Oreochromis niloticus: one gene and its partner. The protein of the gene in region 1 binds, or shares a complex with, the protein of each later gene. Links are inferred from orthologs where the notes say so. Each region holds a gene or a part of one and is shown on either strand. Other genes may lie near its edges.

The links.
Region 2: the proteins of nelfcd (region 1) and nelfb are in contact, whole or in part, in a crystal structure (PDB 8JJ6), measured with the Homo sapiens proteins. The link is inferred for Oreochromis niloticus from reciprocal best matches to the Homo sapiens genes NELFCD and NELFB. Residues at the interface, in XP_047296144.1 of Homo sapiens: Arg63, Ile66, Met67, Glu68, Pro69, Ile71, Phe72, Leu75, Ile89, Gln90, Leu92, Ser93, Tyr96, Thr97, Ala98, Val99, Ala100, Gln101, Thr102, Val103, Asn104, Leu105, Leu106, Trp109, Leu110, Gln112, Thr113, Gly114, Val115, Gln121; in NP_056271.3 of Homo sapiens: Met49, Leu53, Leu56, Val58, Ala59, Asn60, Gly61, Leu64, Lys65, Leu68, Thr69, Leu75, Ile78, Glu79, Phe81, Gln82, Glu84, Asn85, Gly86, Val87, Leu88, Leu89, Ser91, Leu92, Ser94, Ala95, Leu96, Pro97, Phe98, Leu99.

What each region holds. Positions count from the first base shown.
Region 1 is NC_031970.2:24,669,346-24,679,225, forward strand, and holds the start of nelfcd (negative elongation factor C/D), read left to right. Parts: upstream 1-6,298; 5' UTR 6,299-6,468; coding exon 6,469-6,525; intron 6,526-7,965; coding exon 7,966-8,078; intron 8,079-8,162; coding exon 8,163-8,272; intron 8,273-8,369; coding exon 8,370-8,479; intron 8,480-8,617; coding exon 8,618-8,725; intron 8,726-9,643; coding exon 9,644-9,796; intron 9,797-9,880. Other genes in the region: kdm5ba (lysine (K)-specific demethylase 5Ba), read left to right, coding at 224-362, 443-622, 769-927, 1,416-1,835, 1,996-2,086, 2,177-2,361, 2,477-2,740, 2,870-3,007. UniProt on the Homo sapiens protein: Essential component of the NELF complex, a complex that negatively regulates the elongation of transcription by RNA polymerase II.
Region 2 is NC_031977.2:1,193,300-1,202,689, forward strand, and holds the start of nelfb (negative elongation factor B), read right to left. Parts: upstream 3,917-9,390; 5' UTR 3,879-3,916; coding exon 3,777-3,878; exon of another isoform or gene 3,465-3,776; intron 115-3,464; coding exon 1-114. Other genes in the region: ectonucleoside triphosphate diphosphohydrolase 2, read right to left, coding at 5,419-5,625, 5,722-5,856, 6,129-6,248, 6,631-6,903, 7,401-7,628. UniProt on the Homo sapiens protein: Essential component of the NELF complex, a complex that negatively regulates the elongation of transcription by RNA polymerase II.

The DNA of each region.
Region 1 (9,880 bases):
GTGAAATGTGCCACGTCTGTGGCCATGACAAGAGCTGGGTCATGGTGGATAAAGTGGATTATGATGCTGTGACAGTGGTTAACCCATTAATGGATGAACATAAACCAAATACTACAAATGAGCTTATGGTCTTTCATTTATAGAAATGTCTATTTTATTTCTTTATTACTTGTATAAAACCTAAACATCTACACTGTTTTCTAACCCTGACGCCTCCTCACAGGCCATATCAGGGCATAGAAACCCTTGAAGCTGCTCTGCAGGAAGTAGAAAACATCCCTGCTTATCTGCCCAACTGTCTGCAGCTGAAGGATGTCGTCACCAAGGCCAAAAAATGGCTCCATGAAGCTGAAACACTGCAGGTAAATCATACTTTATGCTTTCAGCACTTTAGTTTTAGCAATGGGTGAAACTGAATTATTAATCTTGTCTGTGCTTACAGCTTGGGGGACGTATTCCTGTGCTCGACAGCCTCTCTGAGCTGGTTCTCAGAGCAGAGGGCATCCCAGTGAAGCTCGACCCGCTCAGTCGACTGGAGGCCCTTGTCAGTGATGTCCAGAGCTGGAAGGAGACGGCCACAAAGACATTCCTATTAAAAAACTCCCCTTTCTCACTTCTAGAGGTAAATGCGTATGCAAATGTGGCTGACCAATATAATCATTATGCATCAGTATGAAAATTTAGTGCCAAATATTACAAAACTATAAATGTGGCAAATTTCCTGAACTTGAAAAGCGCCTCTAATAGAATTTGTCATCATGTTTTCAGGTCCTCTGCCCAAGGTGTGACATCGGGTCTGCATATCAGAAGTCAAAATCTAAAAAAGTGAAAGAAGCTCCACAGATCATTAAAAAGACTTCAACAAAACTGGACTCTGTGTGTGATGTAGAGAGAGCTCTCTCTGAGAGTAAGGACTCTGCCTCTGCTGTAAGTATGGCTGCATCAAATTTTCTTTTTCTCTAGTAGCTTTTTCAGTATAGTTAGGACTAAAAACTAGCTCTTGTATAGTTTCCTTTACTCCAGAATCTTTCTTTGTTAAGAAGTGCTGTTTTTTTTATAACTTATAAACAGATAAAAACTGATCTTTTTATTTATTCACTTGTTCTTCCTTACTCTGTCAGAGTAAATATTGTCTATCAATGTGCCATTTCAACCATTTAACCTATCCCAAGTATTAGAAGCAGTGACTCTGACTCTATCTTGGTCACCTTCAGCAGGTTAACCTAGCATTAAATGAGGTTTAGCAGGCACAAATCTGTGTAACGATGAGTGGAGGGTTCCTCAGAAAGTCAATGGGGGAAAAATATGATTTCCTTTATTAGAAGTCCCATCAGGGAAAGTTCATATATTAATAGAGGCATTGTTGTTAGGCTTGAGATTAGTCTTTAATTTCATCTAATTTTCTCTCCTCACAGATGACCACTCTCGCAGAGGTCCGACAGAGGGAGATGGAGATCTTACTGGCTCTGAGGTCTTCAAACGAGTCTAAGCTCCTTCCTGCTGAAAGCTGTTGTGCACTTAGTGTTTGTGTTTGCCAAAAGGCTCCCTCAGGAGCCATGATGCAGTGCGAGCTCTGTCGAGACATTTTCCACTGCGGTTGTGTTACAACAACCGCAGAACTTGAGTACGGTCAGGCCTGGCTGTGCCCGCTGTGCCAGCGGTCGAGAAAACCACCTCTGGACAAAGTCCTGCCCCTGCTGGCCTCCCTTCAGAGGATTCGGGTCCGCCTGCCAGAGGGCGACGCTCTGCGGTTCCTCATCGAGAGGACTGTGAGATGGCAGCACAGAGTCCAGCAAGCCTGTGCAGATGGAGTACTCGAGAACGTGTCAAAGATGGTCAGTGGCTTTTATTTTGTAAACATTGTTGATTTAAGTGAAGCATTTGTGGTCTGAATTATTGTAATTCACCATCAGGGGTCCCGTTTTCTAGACACCATCATGGAAACACTAGACACTGAGCATTTACAGCCACTGATGGCTTTTTTAATTGTTTCAGGTGAGAGTTGGACCTAGAGAGTCTTCACATTTGCCTCAGGAAAAGAGTGGGTCATCTTTTTATACAGAGCACCAGTCTGTTCCGCTCCACGGTAAGTGTCAAAGCTTTTTCGTCTAAGCACTCTCTGCAGTTTCACTTTTCACAGCAACTCTGATGCTCATTTTGTTTTAATTTTTCACAGGACTAAGTCCTGAGCTGGAGGAGCTGATGGTGGAGGGATTCCTGCTGCAGGTCACTCTGCCTGAGACGGAGCAGCTGTACAGATATCTACTCTACAAACTGGTCCCCCTGCCCTCACAGAGCCCTCCCTGTGGGAACAGCACAGAACAGGACCAGAAGTCTCCAAAAGGGAGCCCTCAACACAAGGTAACAACAGCTCCTACTAAGTTTACTACATTTAGATGATACTGTATGTCACACCAAATGCATTATGCCATAATGCTATTCTTTATTAAGTCCACCTTTCGTATGTTGTGCTTAGAATGGCGTGTCGAGTCTGAAAAAGGAGGCCGTGAACACTCAGAGCAAGCGGACCAAGCGGCGTAAGGACAGCTCCGATTCTCAGCACAGCGAGAAGGCCAAGAAGTGTCGCAAGAAAAAGCCCAAGAGAAGCAAAGAAAGGAGCGAAGAATCGAAGAGAAGCGGTTCGCCCACACACACGTCGTCTGACCCTGCTCTTTCAGATTCAGAAGAAGACTACTCGCTGTGTGCTGCACCGTGGTGCAGAGAGCCAGAGGGTGATGAGGTGAGTTTCATTAGTCTGCTGTATTTACACCAACTTATGTAAATATGGATCACTGACTTATGTGCCTGTTTAGTTGAAGTTTAAGAATACAAAGGGAAAATTTATTGTATCTCCTCTTGTTATTTTTAGGTAAACTGGGTCCAGTGTGACGGCAACTGCAATCAGTGGTTTCACCAGATCTGCGTCGGTCTGTCTGCTGAGCGTGCGGAGAAGGAGGATTATGTTTGCATAAGCTGCACACAGCCAGAATACAGCAGAGCAGAATAAAGACCAAAAAGTCATGTTGAAGGATGAGCAGATTTACTGCAGATGCTGCAGCACTTAAGTGCACACCTGAACTCTGTGTGTCCTGCGGCTTCTCCCCTTTACCTTCTGGCTTGCCCTCAGTGAACATGGTGCTACTTCTTTTTCCCCCAGAGTTACTAAAGACTTCTGTCACTGTTTTGTTTTTGTTTTGTTTTTTTCTCACATGGCTGGGTTTTCAGCCAGTCAACTAATCCTTTCTGAAACTTTCCAAGACTCGATGCAGATGTGGTAACATGTTTCAAGAACCAACAGCGCAGGGATTTTTCAACCAAAAAAATGTCAGTTTGACATTTTAGAACAGTTTGTTTTTCTTTTACATGCATCTGAACAATGTGAAACTTATCTTTTTTCTTGTAGAGTAAATATTATTTATCTAAGCAATAGCTGAACAGATTAATTGAAAGTTCAGTTTTCACCTGAGCTATATTTGTGCGTAGAAAAACTTTGATAAAATGCCTTCCGAAAGCAAAAACCCTGAAGAATTCACTTTATGAACCCTATGATACACAGTTCACTTCAAATTTGTGTACACGTCAAAACCGAAATGGATCAACGATCCTTTCACAAATCACTGACTTTGATATAAAGTCAGGTTTTCCTTCTGCGATGTCTGCAGAGGAAAGTAAAAGTCCTGGACCCCATATTCCTGCTGTTGGGTGAGACTCAATTAAAGCCACAAAGTAAGAATGAACTGTCCGACATCAAAGGAATGTACATGTTGTTTTTTGGGTGGATTTTCCCTTTATGGCTGAGGCTGATATATGTGTTGGACTTAGATTTAACACAGACTGTGTGATTTATTTTGCCACGGGTATATGACCTTTTTCCTGCTCCTTTGGGTAAATAATATAATTCATATGTTGCGGTTTGCATTATAAAATAAAACATTTGTTCCTGTACGGCTGGACTCCTCAGTACTCAGCGTTGAATACCATGAAAGTTAGTTTGTGGATTTTCAGCGGTTTTCTTTTTGTTTGTTTTTTTTTTAATTTTATTTTTTTCCATCCATTTTGGAAGAGGAAAAGATGTTCAGTGATCCTCAAGCCGGCAGGAAATGAACACAAGTCACAGGTAAACTGATCGCTTCAGAAACAGTCACTTCAACCTGTTGGGGAGACTTCAGAATTTATTTCATCGCCTTCGGTTAATAACTGAGCTTAAAGCATACTTCATTCAAACTTGAGTGAGGGGGGGGGAAACATTATTTATTTGTGATTGTTTAACAGACACAGGTATTCATTGCCACTCATATAATTAAATTCCTCATATGTAAATTCAATAAACTGCACAAAGAGCTCAGCATACACACACTATCACAGGCTCCAGTGTCTGCTGGCAAGCCAAAAATGAAATTCACTTGTGATTATGTTCTTTCTCGTGCACAACTTTTGACATACTGTTCCATAAAACTATTCTTTTAAAACCCAATAAAGGGTTGTTTAGTTGACTATCTTATTTTATTTGAACAGTTTGCAATTTAAGTCTATACTGTACTCTGAGGTTCATATGTTTAGATACACTAACTCTGTAAAAATTAATATATAGCCCTTACTTGTGGTCCATGCTAACGTACAGGGAACAGTATGCAACAAGATACAGGTAAGGAGGCTGTTGACCAAAGAAGACAGTTGTGCATGAGTCCGATGGCTGAGCCAACATGTATACATCACGGGTGGTCTTACTAAACATGTGGATGGAGTCTCCACCAGTTAGATTTATTAATTCTATTGAATGAAGTATAATAATAAAAAGAGTGACCTATGCAAGTTTTCAGCAGAGTCTGACCCAGTCTTTCAGAATTAAAAACAAAGTACTAACTTCTGCAATGTAGTATGTGACCAATAGAGGGCGCCAAAGTAAAAGCATAAATTACATCCATGTCAAGAGAAAGAAAATGACCACAAAAGAAAAACTAGTAGTATCCCTACTCGCATGTAGTTAATATGAGGGAAAGAAAGAAAAAGGATATAAACTGTTAATAACAAATGGTTACGTTTTTAAGAGGAGAAACGGCAGGAAGTCTTGTCTTCTAACCCTGGAAGTTTTGTGGCCTCTAATACAGGGATGTTAAACTCAATTTATATTAAGGGCCACATACAGCCCACTTTGATCCTTAACCGGCCAGACCACTGAAACCCCCCCTTTCTATTGGTGTAAAGATGATTACCTGCACATTTAACCCCTGAAATAGTTTAATATAAGAAGAAGAAGTGTTATTCTGACAGTATATCCTACATTTTCCACATGATATAGAAATTCTGCTGGAGGAAATGAAAGAAATCTTTCAGTGCTACACTTTGGGCTTAAATTTTAAGAAATGTGTAAAATTACAGAAGAAATTCTGGTAACTCAGCCCAGACAGTCTGTGTTTTCTCTAAGTAGACAAGGCAGGACGTGGATACTCTCACTTTTGACAGACTCACTTAGTGCACACTTAAAATAGTTTAGGCCTCTGTAATGCATGCATGCAAATCTAGAGAAACTATTTTCACATCCTGTAAAGCTTTACCATCTGCACCTTCTGTAATATTATATTTTCACTTATAATCTAGGAGATCATTTTTGTTGGTCTAATGCTATTTTACTCGACAGTCGTGTTGTCGGTTATAATGTGCATAATGTAATATGTGGACTTTTAGTGCCGTCAGAGATGCTCTAAACAGTTGTGCCAATTAAATGATCCACTTAGTTTATATCAGTAAGAAACTATTAAATAGTAAACATTCCTCTGGTTTTACAGAGGTCTACCTGAAGATAAATTGGTCACATGCAGTACTATGCAAATATTTTAATCACTCCTCATTTCTTTGTTTTCTTTCCAAGAAGCCAGCCTTTCTTTTGTTTTATTTCTTTTAAGTGCTCTTGAGCAATACTTCTTCTTTTTACCTTAACATTTTCAAAGGAATGTTTTTTTTTGTTTTCCTTTGTTAAACCACTTAACCCTGACCCATGCACTTCAGGAAGGCTGCAGAACTATTCCTGAAGACTACTTAAAAAATTATGAGAAAGCTTTCCTAAGAAATCTCAGATTGCAGTGATTGAACCAAATAGTGGCTTTCGAGCTCATTAGAATTGCACAAACTCAGTTTTTTCCTTATATGTTGTATTTCCATATATGTTTTGAAAGTTTAAATAAATCACCGCACCTTTTTCCAGTTTTCCTTGCAAAAGTTTACCATTGTACTAAACAAAGGAAACGCCATTCGGTTTGAGCCTAAAAGTCTAAACTCAGGGAGTGAACCCACGAATGGGGGCGTGGCCTACAGCCTACCGCCTCGCCATTTTCCTCCTGTGTTGTTGTTAGCTTGCTGGCTAAGCTGACTGTCAGCCCGGTTTCTGCAGTTAAACGAGTCAGTGCATGATTTAAATCCAACAGGTGTGTTATTGTAGCGGTTCCCAACGTCCCTGCTTTCCCCGTCACCATGGACGAGGAATATTACAGCGGTTCCGGAGACTGGGAAGGCACGGAGGGTAACATGGTGAGATCGCGACTTGTTGCTGTTTGGCTCTCGGTTAGCTAGCCAGCATTAGCATCGCTGGAGTCACAGCAGCTGATGATTAATTGTCAGACCTTTGTTATCTTTAGTATAAGAGCTGATGTGCTGAGACAAGTGCTTCAGGTACTCTAAAGATGCATTGTATAGTCTAAACTCAGCGGCTCGGCTACTTAGTTAGCCTGCAGCTGGCTAACAAACGACACAGCTGCTTCATGTTCATGTTACAAACTGGTGATCAACTCGCCATAGGTTAAAGTTTGTTTTATTTCTGACTAAAATATATGATAAAATAAATTGATAAAATATATTTTATCTCTGACTTGGATGACCGAAAACAGAATCGACTGTTTTGATAGTGTTCACACAGTCGTGGTCACAAAGGAGAAATCACACCTGTGTCAATTCTAAGGTTTTATATATCAGGACATGATAAAAATGGACCCACTTTGGGTCAAGCTTTAGCTGTTGGACCATTGGACTCTAGAACACTTTGGTATACAGAGGAGTTCATGGTTGACTCAATGTTTACAAGACGCTCAGGTCCTGTGGCTGCAAAACGAGCCCAAATCATCAGCCCCCCACCACGAACTTTAACCTTTAACATGATAACTGATCAAATCTGTAGTGTCTGAGATGTAGTTCTTGGGTTTTTGCAGTTCTTTTGAGCATGGCACGGTCTGACCTTGAGGTGAATTTGATGGTATGGGTTCTCTTGGGAAGAGAGACACCTGAATGCTCCAGAGCAGCAAACTGCCAGTACATTTATAGATGTGCTCACACAGAAACCTGGCTATTACTTACCCCCTTAAATGCCAGCGTGACCCCATTCAATCACAGACTGGTCGCAGCAAAACTAATGGAACTTTATCTTATTGGCTTAAAAAGATATTGATAAAGTTCAACTCTGATGATATAATTTATCGTATCGTGGCGTGTCTGGTGATTGCCACTTCTAGGAACGGATGATTTTTATTATATCCTCATATGTAAACTATGACTGTAGAAGTTAAGTTTGCCTGCAATATGGCACCTTGTTGCGTTTTTAGTGTGCATGTTTTTCAAACAGTAGTAAATCAGGATAAGGTGCGATAGTCACATAGACCTGTATTCAACTAAAAGAGACAAAAAAATAAGCTCAAAGTATGAGAGCTGTGTGTTTTAAACGTTGGGGAAACCTCTGCCTAGTTACTGAACTGCAGCACAAACCTGATATCTACATATCAGTGTCTTTTAACTTGGATGAATGTAAGGAAGCCTGCTCAGAATCTAATAATAACATCTTCTATAGCACCTGTCGATTCTCCTCTACCTTGTAGCTACACCATAATTTGTTACTATATGCAAATGAGAACTGGAGTATTACTTATTATTCCCAAGAAAGATGAATCACTTTAGAAGCATCTGCATCACCGTGTATTTCAGGAGGATGGTTACGGTGAAGGAGAAAATGATGGGAAAATCCAGGAAGCTTGCCTGGAGAAATTCTCCAGTAGGGATTACATCATGGAGCCTGCTATCTTCAGCACCCTCAAAACGTAAGTGTCTGCACTCTCATGTAAATGTAATATAAGTTTTGGTAAAAAGACATTTATTGATTAACAACCATGTTGTTTCTGCAGGTATTTTCAAGCAGGTGGCTCTCCAGAACATGTCATCCAGCTTCTCTCTGAAAATTACTCTGCCGTGGCTCAGACTGTTAATCTGCTGGCTGAGTGGCTCATCCAGATGGGTACCTATCAGACTACTGGTCTTACTGTTGTGTCAGAAAACTATTTTAAGTTTGTCTTACTGATGGCTTTTCATTAACGTGTAATGTAATTATTCAGGTGTTGAGCCTGCACAAGTCCAAGAACGAGTAGAAAATCACCTCAAGAGTCTTCTGATAAAACACTTTGACCCCCAGAAAGCTGATTCCATCTTCACCGTTGAGGGAGAGGTGAGATCTCTAAACACCCGGAGTAATTACACATATGACAAATGAAAGTGGTGAGAAACTTTGAGCGTGTTGTGCTTCAACACAACAACTAACTGAAGCTCAGAGAAACCAAACTAATCCAGTCTCCTGCCATTTTAGACTCCTGCTTGGCTCGAGCAGATGATAGCACACACAACGTGGAGAGATCTCTTCTATAAGCTGGCGGAGGCTCACCCAGATTGCCTGATGCTCAACTTCACTGTAAAGGTATAGTAGTGACTGTGGAAACAGTAAGAACAGCAGGAGCTGAAGATTAGGACATGAACACAAACTAACCAGTAGAAAGAGTCGAGTTAAAGATTTTAACTTTAAATTTGTTTCTGATGTTCTGTCATTGTCATTTACACTCATTGGACACATTATTAGGGACACTTTCCTTGAAGCCTTTGCCTTCAGAACTGCCTTAATTCTTCATGCCGTGAATTCAACAATGTGCTGGGAAAATTCCTCAGATTTTGGTCCACATTGATCCTGGCACCAACATCTGTGCAACGTTCAAAGTCACTTATATCAACTTTCTTTCTCATTCCGATGCTCAGTTTGATCTTCAGCAGGTTGCCTTGATCATGTCTACACACACTGATCTGCCATGTGACTAATATGATTTGTATGACCGATATAAGAATCAGACATTCAGAGACATTGGCATCTAATTTTTTTTTCAGACACATGAAACACAGATTTATCTAACATTTTTTTATGTGTAGTTTTTTATTTATTTGTATATGCTCTGCCCAACTCTGCAGGGATCAGTTAGATTTTGTCTTAGTGAGATCCCACAAAAGTATTGCCAGCAGGGAAGTTGCAGAGTGCCCTCTGGTGGACAAACTATGCAACAGTTAATGCCAATACCAATAGATCTGCAGAAAAGGTAATGTAGGCCTGCCAATAAATCAGTCTGGCTCTGCATGGGTTTGACTCATTAGTTATTTTTGTTAACAAGCAGCTGAACAGGTGTACATAAAAACATGGTCAGTAAGTGTATTGTTGTAATTGTAATTTACACGAATATGAAAATTCACCTTAATTTTATCATTTTTCCTTTTTTTTTTTTTATACATTTTTGCAGCTTGATGACTTGGACTGTCTCTGCTTCTTTTCAGTATTGTGTTTGTGTTTGTTTAGCTTATTTCAGACGCAGGTTACCAGGGCGAGATCACCAGCGTGTCCACAGCCTGCCAACAGCTGGAAGTTTTCTCTCGGGTGTTGAGAACATCTTTGGCCGCGCTGCTAGACGGAGGAGAAGAAAACCTGGAGAAGAACCTGCCCGAATTTGCTGTGAGGATTACTTTGCTTGTCTGTTTTGTCAACCTTTAAAGATCTGTAAAATATATATCCTTTTGTCTCAGTGTGCCACTTTTT
Region 2 (9,390 bases), on another chromosome or scaffold:
CTTTTCTCGAAGCTCATCAAAGACAGACTGGTGGAACTCTAGCCGAGGTGTCCCATGGAGATCGAGAAAAGGAAGAGCAGACTGAAGCGTTGGCAGCAGGATTCCATTTTCCATCTGCAATAATGTAACATGTCAAGGACTCATCAAGAATTAGTTCTAGCCGTGCAGCTACTCTATTCAAAGTCAGCTTACTCATAAGGGCACACACCTGGTAAAACATGGCCAACCACATTTTATACTCCATGATATGTTTCATATAATATGGGCTTTCAATGGTCCACAAAGTATTAAATGTAAGTTAAATTAAGTATGAAATGTAAATTGCATAAATGAATAAACTTATAACATAGTAGGTTTATTGACTCTTTGCCTAAAAATGTAAACAGAAAAAAGAATTAAGCACGTCAGGAAAAGAAATACACCATGTTTTCATTTTGAATATTTTGATTTGAAACCGAACTAAGAGCTGAATAACAAATCAACTTTAACTGTGCAAAATAGCTACACGACATGGGCATAGACTATATGCATAATAGGAATATATGTCTGTAGAAGAATTATTCTCATATTCCCCCATACATTTATTATTCATCTGAATTATAAAGTTTAGGGAAATCCCTTATAAAAAATAAATCCAATCAATACGTCATGTTTTGTTAAAAAATTTTTTAAATTGTTATCACTGACCAAAGTAATTTCGATGATGGCTGTTTTGTTTTTCCCATCGCCTTTGGAAATGTCCTTTTTTCCCTGATGACCAGTCAAAAACCTAACTATTTTGAGCTTAGCATGATGCCAAAAAAAAAAACAACCAACCAACCAACCAAACAAACAAACAAACAAACAAAAAGAAACACCCGACAAAGCCACAAATACTCAGTATTACCAGTGAATGCTGGGGATTGGTGCTTGAAAAACTCAAATAAACAGTTACTGAATTTGTTGCAAGTGAATCTGAATTTGATTAAATCACTGATTTGCTGTAGCTCTGTCATAATGGTTGGTATCTGGGGAAATAATAAAACTGCCTTGGCATGTTCCCAAGCTGAAAATGTTCAAGATTGTTAAAGCTCTGATAAGATAGACTCCGTTTAATGCAGAAAGTTGAACTGGCAAATCTGGTCAAACTGACAAAAACAGAAACACAGGATATTTCTATTTTAATTATGTTATATTTTAGTTTACATTGTAACACCTCTGAAAACCTAAGGTATTACCTATGTTGTAACTTGACATTCTCCGCCCTATAAATCACACTTACTTCAGCACTGTTCATTCCTCCTCCAAATTTCTAGCTACTTTTTGGCTGCAGTCTTTTAATTTATCAGTGAAAGAATAACAATGATCTTCTCAATATAGGAAATAATAAACAAAGCATCATTACAAGGCAGCAAAGACTGGTGAAGCTATTGGAAGGAACATGAGGGGATGTACAAAGAAGTGGAAAAACTTGAGGGACAAATGTGTTTGCTCCAAAAAAAAAAAAAAAAAAAAAAAAAACTGAGGACAAAAAAAAGAGACCCAGGAGGGAAAAATGTTGGAGCATTTTATTTCAAAGATTCACCGCAGATGTGGACAAGATGATAAACTTTAACTTTTCTACTTTTACAATCATTTATTAAAATGTGTTTCTTATTTTACTACAGCCAGTCTCTTCATGACCTGGACATCAGTGAGATCTGCTCGGTGGATCCCTGCCAGTCAGTTTTAAACTGCAGGCAATCACTGGTTCAGTGTGTTTCACAGTCACTGGACTTCTTTAAGTTTCTTGAAGATGTTTTGTTCATGATTCTTTCATCCAAAAAGCTTCTTCAGTTTTCTGAAGTAGTTCCCTGAACTGAAGAGGCTTCTTGGATGAAAGGTGATCCTCAAGAAACTTTTATTTCCAAGCTCCTAGATTACCATGACCTGGGTGACTGAGAACCTACACAGACTCTTCTATGAAACAAACTACACATGCAACGGGCCTTATAAGACAGTGATTACATACTCTCGTGGACACTGCATGGATAGTGCTCATCTCTTTGACTGCACCAGACTATTACATCTGTGCCATTTTAAGGACAAGCGACATAGCTGGAATTTACAAATCAGCAGGGGCAGAAATGTGCAAAAGATGGAGTTAGCCACATCACCTGTTAGTTATCAATCCAACGTTCTGAACCACGCTGTTTAGTGCCATCGAGAGACACCGCATGCTCATATCTTACCAACTAGTCAATCACATGTAAAAGAAATCCTGCTTTATCCTCCATAGTTACTCTAATGGAACATGAATATCAGGCTGTATTAAATAAAACTGAAACTAGATACTGAGCCCATGAATCCCCCAGTAAAGTGTCTATTGAGGCCACAAATCAAAGAAGTTTAATGGTTGCTTTCCCATACATGTCTATACAACCAAAGGTATTGCCCCAAGGTGGCAATGTAAAAGAATGCAGGTTTAGATATGGTAGAGCCATTACTCTTAATCCCACTATACAATGTTCCTTCCTGTTAAAAACAAGTTTTTCCTTCCCACTGTTGCCATAAAGAGTGTCTGTGACATCCCTAATACTTAAGGAAGATTGACTTGACTACAAGTCTTTTTAAATATCTTTTTTTTTTTTTTTTTTTTTTTTTTTTTAAATGGGACTAAATCCTCTTAACCTCTTCTATGCAAAAATAATAACTAAATAAATAAAACAAAAATAAAAAATGCACAAATCACGACAGGGGCAGGAATCTGTTTTTTGCTGCATCTCCATGGGGCCCATTCAGTCTGGGTTATCTCCTGAGCACCGATATAAAACCGAAACGCCAAATAGTACGATTACTGGTTTCACTTTTCACATTTTCACATGACAAAAGTATGCCCATTTTTCATATACAGTCTATGGTTTTGTCCTCAAACTGTATTACCTATTTAAGACAATAAATAGCAGTTCAAACTCTCTAAAGCTCTAAGTTGTCGTCGACTTATATCACCTACTCTCAAATCAAATCAAATCACTTTTATTGTCACGTCACATGTGCAGGTACACTGGTACAGTACATGCGAATGAAATTCTTGTGTGCGAGCTTCACAAGCAACAGAGTTGTGCAAAAATACAATAACGTAAAACAAGCAAAATATAAGAATGGCTAAATCTGAAAGTAATAAATATATGTACAATATATAAGAGTATATGCATTACTGGATGTGTATACTAAATATGTTTTTCTACGTGTGTGTGTGTGTGTGTATACATATTTTACAAATTAAATAGAGTAAACAATAAAATAAAATATATAAAATATACAGAGGTTGGTAGTTGGAGGTAAAAAAAAAAAACAAACACTCCAAACACACCACAAACGAACACCACAACAGAACGGCACACGTTCTGTGCATTGTGAGATTACGCTCAAAGATTGTCTGCCATCTCCAATCCTCTCTCCTGCTTTCACAGATCTAGCGGGAGAGATCGGAATAAAGGGTGAGAAGGCGATGAATATCCTGCATTTTGATTAGTTTTAAACGCAGGATATTAGCTCAAAAATATGAACTTGAAGTGGAGAGCAAATTTCATTGACCATTTCTCCCACTTTCTCTTTTTGCAATCTGTGTTGTTTTGTTGTTGTTTATTGCTACAACAGTGATGAAAATAGCTTAGTAGGAAACAACGGAGAACGGTGACTAGCTTTGGATGGTTAAGAACATACGTTATCGTTTGTTTATCAATCCGGGAACGCTTATTTACCGTTAGTCGAAATGTACACTCTATCACTCGAGGCACTAAGCTGTTGGGTGTTACCTGAAACTGATCGATGGCTTTCAGTGGCTCTGTGCAGTTAGTGAGAGTTTCTTTAAGATCCTCTCCGTTGGATATACCAAGCTCAGGCAGCCCCGCGAACATTTTGCTTTCAGTTTAAGCATCAATTAAATGATCTAAGTCCAAATGATGTCTTCTGACGGGAGTTTAGTCAACAAAAGTAAGTTCCTTCTGCAGAAAACAACACATTCGCCTTTTTGAGAGCTTCCTGTGTTGCAACTTTGTAAACACTCCGCCAGAAACATCCGCGATGAAACGTTCCAGCGTGCTCTGCGGTAAAAGGGCGAGCATCAAGGGGTTCGATTGCAAGCTGCGGAGAAGCGCGAAGTCATAACGTACAAAGAGCTGATGTAAAACCGAGTGTTAAAAAAGTGTTTTACTGTCTCTGCTTTTCATACTGTGGTTTTTTTTTCGCGGTGAACTCAGCTGACGCTGTCTGCTCTATTTCAAACTCCCTTTGCTCCACCGTAAATTCGCCGTACTCACAAACTTCTCAATTGAAATACATGGGAGGATTCAATTGTGGCAAAGATCGTGGTAGAAGTATAATTACCTCGGAAAAATACATTTAAAGTTTTATTTAAAGTCTCATATAAAGCCATTTTAAAATGCTTAACTAGAGATCAAAAAGTACGTTTGCAGACTCATACAAAAAAGTTTGAACATATTCGAAAAGATTTACTCCATCAAAACAACTAACAACTTTTTTTTTTTAAATTTAAACATAACACATCAGTCGGTGGCACGGTGGTTAGCACTGTTGCCGCACAGCAAGAAGGTCCTGAGTTCAATTCCACCATCAGGCCAGGGTCTTTCTGTGTGGAGTTTGCATGTTCTCCCCGTGTTTGCGTGGGTTCCCTCCGGGCACTCCGGCTTCCTCCCACCGTCCAAAGACATGCAGCTTGTGGGGATAGGTTAATTGGATAATCGAAATTGTCACTAGGTGTGAATGATTGTCTGTCCCTGTGTGTTGGCCGTGGGACAGACTGGCGACCTGTCCAGGGTGTACCCCGCCTCTCGCCCTATGACAGCTGGGATAGGCTCCAGCGCCCCCCGCGACCCTGAAAAGGATAAGCGGAAGCGAATGGATGGATGGATGGATAACACATCAGTCTTCAAAAGCCTTCAGTTAGGCACATGGCTATTTTGAATGACACATTAGCTGTTAGTGGTGTCTTAGAGTATGTATGCCACAGTTCTATATTGAACCTTAAGTTGTCCCTGATTTGTTCAGAGATAGTATGAGTGTGTGATAGAAAATGCATTCATAGACTGCCTGAATGTGTGTGTGAATGGGTTATGTACTATAGCTTGTAGTAAAAGCTACTTGCAGTGCTCATTCAAACTAGAAAAGTGCTAAATAATGACAAGTTAATCACAAGTGGTATTGTATTGCACATTGAGTCTGGAACATTTAAAAAACAATCCCATTTATTTTGGATTTTGTGCACACTGACATGAGTAAGCTGAACATTTACTGAAATTTGTGAATCTAAAGCAAAACTTGTAAGCTTTACTTTAAAAATGATTTTCGCTACATAATATAAAAAGCCAAAATTAAAAAGGTGTTTACTGAAGGTTTTTTGCCTGAGAGAAATTTACTTCAACTTGGCTATCCTTGCTCTCAAACCATTCCTTCATTAGCCTTTGTTTTTCTGTAGACAAAGAGAAGGTATCCCAGTGCAAAGAAGATAAGGATGATGGAGAAGAAGAGGATGCCTTTCCAGGGCCCTATGGGCAGGGCCTTCATCACTACAGGATTTTCGGCTGGAACTAGATTGGTGAGGTTTAGCATGTAACCCAAAGCCCAGCCTACAGATGCTCCTCCGGCCTACAGAAACACAAGAAGAGGTGCAGTGATATCACATCATATTGTGGATTCTATCAGTTTCTAAATTCCAGCAAATCATTTCGTTTCACCTCTCACCTTTTTTTCAAAAGAAATAGAAGGAAGGAAAACCTCATCAAAATGGTAGCCCTGTGTTAAGAGCACCTGGACGAAATTGGAGACAGCACAGACATTCTTCATGTATTTCTTATCCTGCTTTGTCCTATTCGTCATCTATAAGTAAAAATACAATGTGTGAGGTTTTGTATTATGTTATTTAAAGCTCATCGGAATCAGAGAGATTTTATCAATCCCAGAGAGAAATTGAGTTGTCAAAGCCGGAAATATACAACAAACATCAAGCACTCATAAAAAACAAGTGCAGAAACAGAGATATTGATAGATATATAATAGATAATATATGTAGATATATGTCAACAGTCACTTTAGAGCCTTAGAGTAACATGGTGAGGATCAACACGTCTCAAAGTCTTTATGGACAGTACCTCAGAGATGCTCATGCTGCAGACGCGCTGGACAGCCTCTGCAGTTTGATTAGGAGACGTCATATCCATGTTGGTGAGGGTAGAGATGTATTTGTGAGTGAAGTAGAAAGCAGAGAATGCCTGTGGAGAAGAAAGAATAGTGCAATGGATGAAGGTTAAGTATCCCCCATCTGTTTTTGAAGACAGAATTAAAAATGTGACCTGTAACCACGAAGGAAGCATTAGTACAATCCATTAGGTCCTGATACAAATGCCTGTAATGCATTCCATTTTTAGTGTTTAGGAGTATTTTCAATCATCAATCAATCAATGTATGTGGGAGTGTGTGTGGGTGCGTGTGTGTGTGTGTGTGTGTGTGTAAAGAAGAAAGGATATCAGAAAGCAAAAATTAGTGCTCATTCAGTGAAGAGCATACATAACGTAGCAAATGAGTCTACGTTATGCTTCTATGCTTTTTTGCCTCAATATAGGATATTTTAGACAACATCTAAAAGCCTCTCACCATGAATCTTCCTCTCAAGCTGGGCTGAAAGACTCCATTAAAGGAGCACTTGGAGTATTTGCAATTCTCAAAGGAGAACATCTTCTTTACATTCTCTAAGCAGTTTTGGTAGTCTCCTGTGCCCACAACTTTTACATTCAGTTTCAGGTCAATCTTGTCTGGTTTGGAGTCCACAGTACACGGAGAATCAAAGACGTCCTTCCCCAGGATGACACTTTCGGTGAACTGCTTTGGATAGCAGGGGTGGAACACTGTGCTGTTTTGATAGTTATCCTTAAAGTTAGAAGATTAAAATTTTATTAGAAAACATTTTTTAATAATTTTTTTTACAAAGATCATTTCACCATATAAAAGCCATCCATAACACAGATACTGCATTGTTCTAAGGTTCCTCGTAGCAACAACTCTGATTTTCCTAAAACTGGTAAAGACTGGTAATTTAATTTGGTTAACAAGCTAGCAGTTCTCCTGTTCAATCTTTATGGCAAGCTTTCATCTCTCTCTTAGCAAGAATGTAACAATATGATCCCAAAATGTAACAAATGTGAACTTAATCTATTTAGTAAGTTTAATGGAGATGTGTTTCAAACATCCTTTTTGTTTAGTAGGACTGCAGCAAGACAATAACATGTTTACATATGCTGTTTTATATGGTCTTGCTATCTGAACTTCTCAGTTGTTAAGAAGATACAGAATCATTATAACAGGGATGATTACAATTGAAATGGTTGCCATTAACAGTTAGAGTCTTTTAACTTGTTGAACAGTACCTTAATGAGATGAGCCAGCAGTTTCCTTAAATACTGGTCTTGGCCGTAACACAGGAAGCTCTGGGTGTATAGTCTGTAGGTTTTTCCAAAAAGCTTCAACTCCATTGTGTTACTTTTATTCTCCACCTTTTCAGAGGTCTCAAAAGTAATCTGGGTAGATGCTCCTCCTAAATCCAAAGCTCCAATTGTCTCTCTGCCTGGATTCATCCAGTGACCTACAAAACCATACTGGGTAATAAAAAAGGACATGACGCCACATTGGAATTAGAATCACTTAGAATCAACCAATAACCAGTGTTGGGCAAGTTACTTTGAAAAAGTAATTAATTATAGTTACTAGTTACTTCTTCAAAAAAGTAACTGAGTTAGTAACTGAGTTACAAGATTCTAAAAGTAATTAATTACTTGAAAAGTAACTATTGCGTTACTTTAAAAAAATGTTTAACCCTGTGGGGTCCAGGGTAGAATTGGCCATTTTTCACTACTTTTGATTTTCCCTCTACATTTCACCTTTAAAAACTATTTACTTTGCCTTGTTTGGTATCATCCTTTTCAGCACAACCTCACATGTCTGAATTTACAGTTATGTTTTCATTTTGACATACTGTATTAACACAATTGATCTAAAATCAGACAAAAAACATAAAATCAGAGTAGAAAAAAAGTTATATTTTTTTACAACCACAAACATGTTTAATGAATCATATTTCATAACTTTAAATGCAAATATAAATTGTCAATTTTAAAATCATATGCACAAGTTTTGCAAACAACAAAGTTATTTGCAGCCATTTACCTTTTACCCCTTTTTTTAAATAACCATTTCAAACTATTTACAGAACAATCAGCTGTTCTACATTCAATAAGAGGCCACACAAATTATTTGTGCCACTCCAAATATTTCTGTCCACTATAAAGGAGAACATCACAGCCTGATTCCTGCAGGTCTGACAGCAGCAGGTGTATCACTCCTGTTCTCTACCTGGAGACAGCAGTAACCTGATTGTTCTGACACACAACACAAAACTATCCACAACACTACACACTAACTACGCAAGACAACACATTAACTACACACTCCAAACACGCCAAACGTCACAAATCTCTCACATCTCAAAACTCGCTCTCTCTCTTTTTCTGCTGTCTTTCTTTCTCTCTCTCTCGCCGTCACTCATAAAACTTCCCACTCTTCCTAAACAACCAAATGTCATGTTGCCATATCATTTTTTGATTGGTCGACATTTTTCCACCAACACAAAAGGGCAGGGGTTTTTTTTGTTTGTTTTTTTGTTTTGGTTTTTTGCTCATAAGCAGAGAGTGCTTGCTAGCGCTGTCCTTAGACAGTAAACGTGATGAAACTATTCAGGAAAAAAAACACGCGTATATATTGTTTATCATGACTCTGGTTTTACGTGGCCTATCAACACAATTTAAAAACTGGTATATATCACCTTGTTGCTTTGTCATCTTGAAGTGGTCATATGATTGGCTTACCACGACTACTTTATTCTTCCTCAGTCAAACAGCAGCACTCATGCGATTGTTTTGTCCCCTTAGCTCCAGGTGTTGTGCCAAAAAGTGTTCGTCGGGCAGAAAGTGACTACCATCCACGGGAGCGCGCGCAGCTGCTTAAAGCTGTAGCGCCCAGATTACTTATGTAGACAGCTACTTCCGTGCAACTGATATAAGATGCGGTAAGCTGAAGACAGCTTCAACCGGCTGTTTGTTGAAAAATAGTAACGCGACCGCACCGCATTTTCTTGTTAGTAACGGTAACGGTGTTGTAACGATAGGAATAGTAATTAGTTAGATGACTCATTACTGAAAAAAGTAACGCCGTTACTTGTAACGCCGTTATTCCCATCACTGCCAATAACATACTCGAATGCTCTAAAACTGTAAGAGAAATTTAGTCATGCAACCATGTTGCAGTAATAGCATCACTTAGTCAATTACCAGTGTATTTCTATGCTCCCAGCAGCTACCAGTA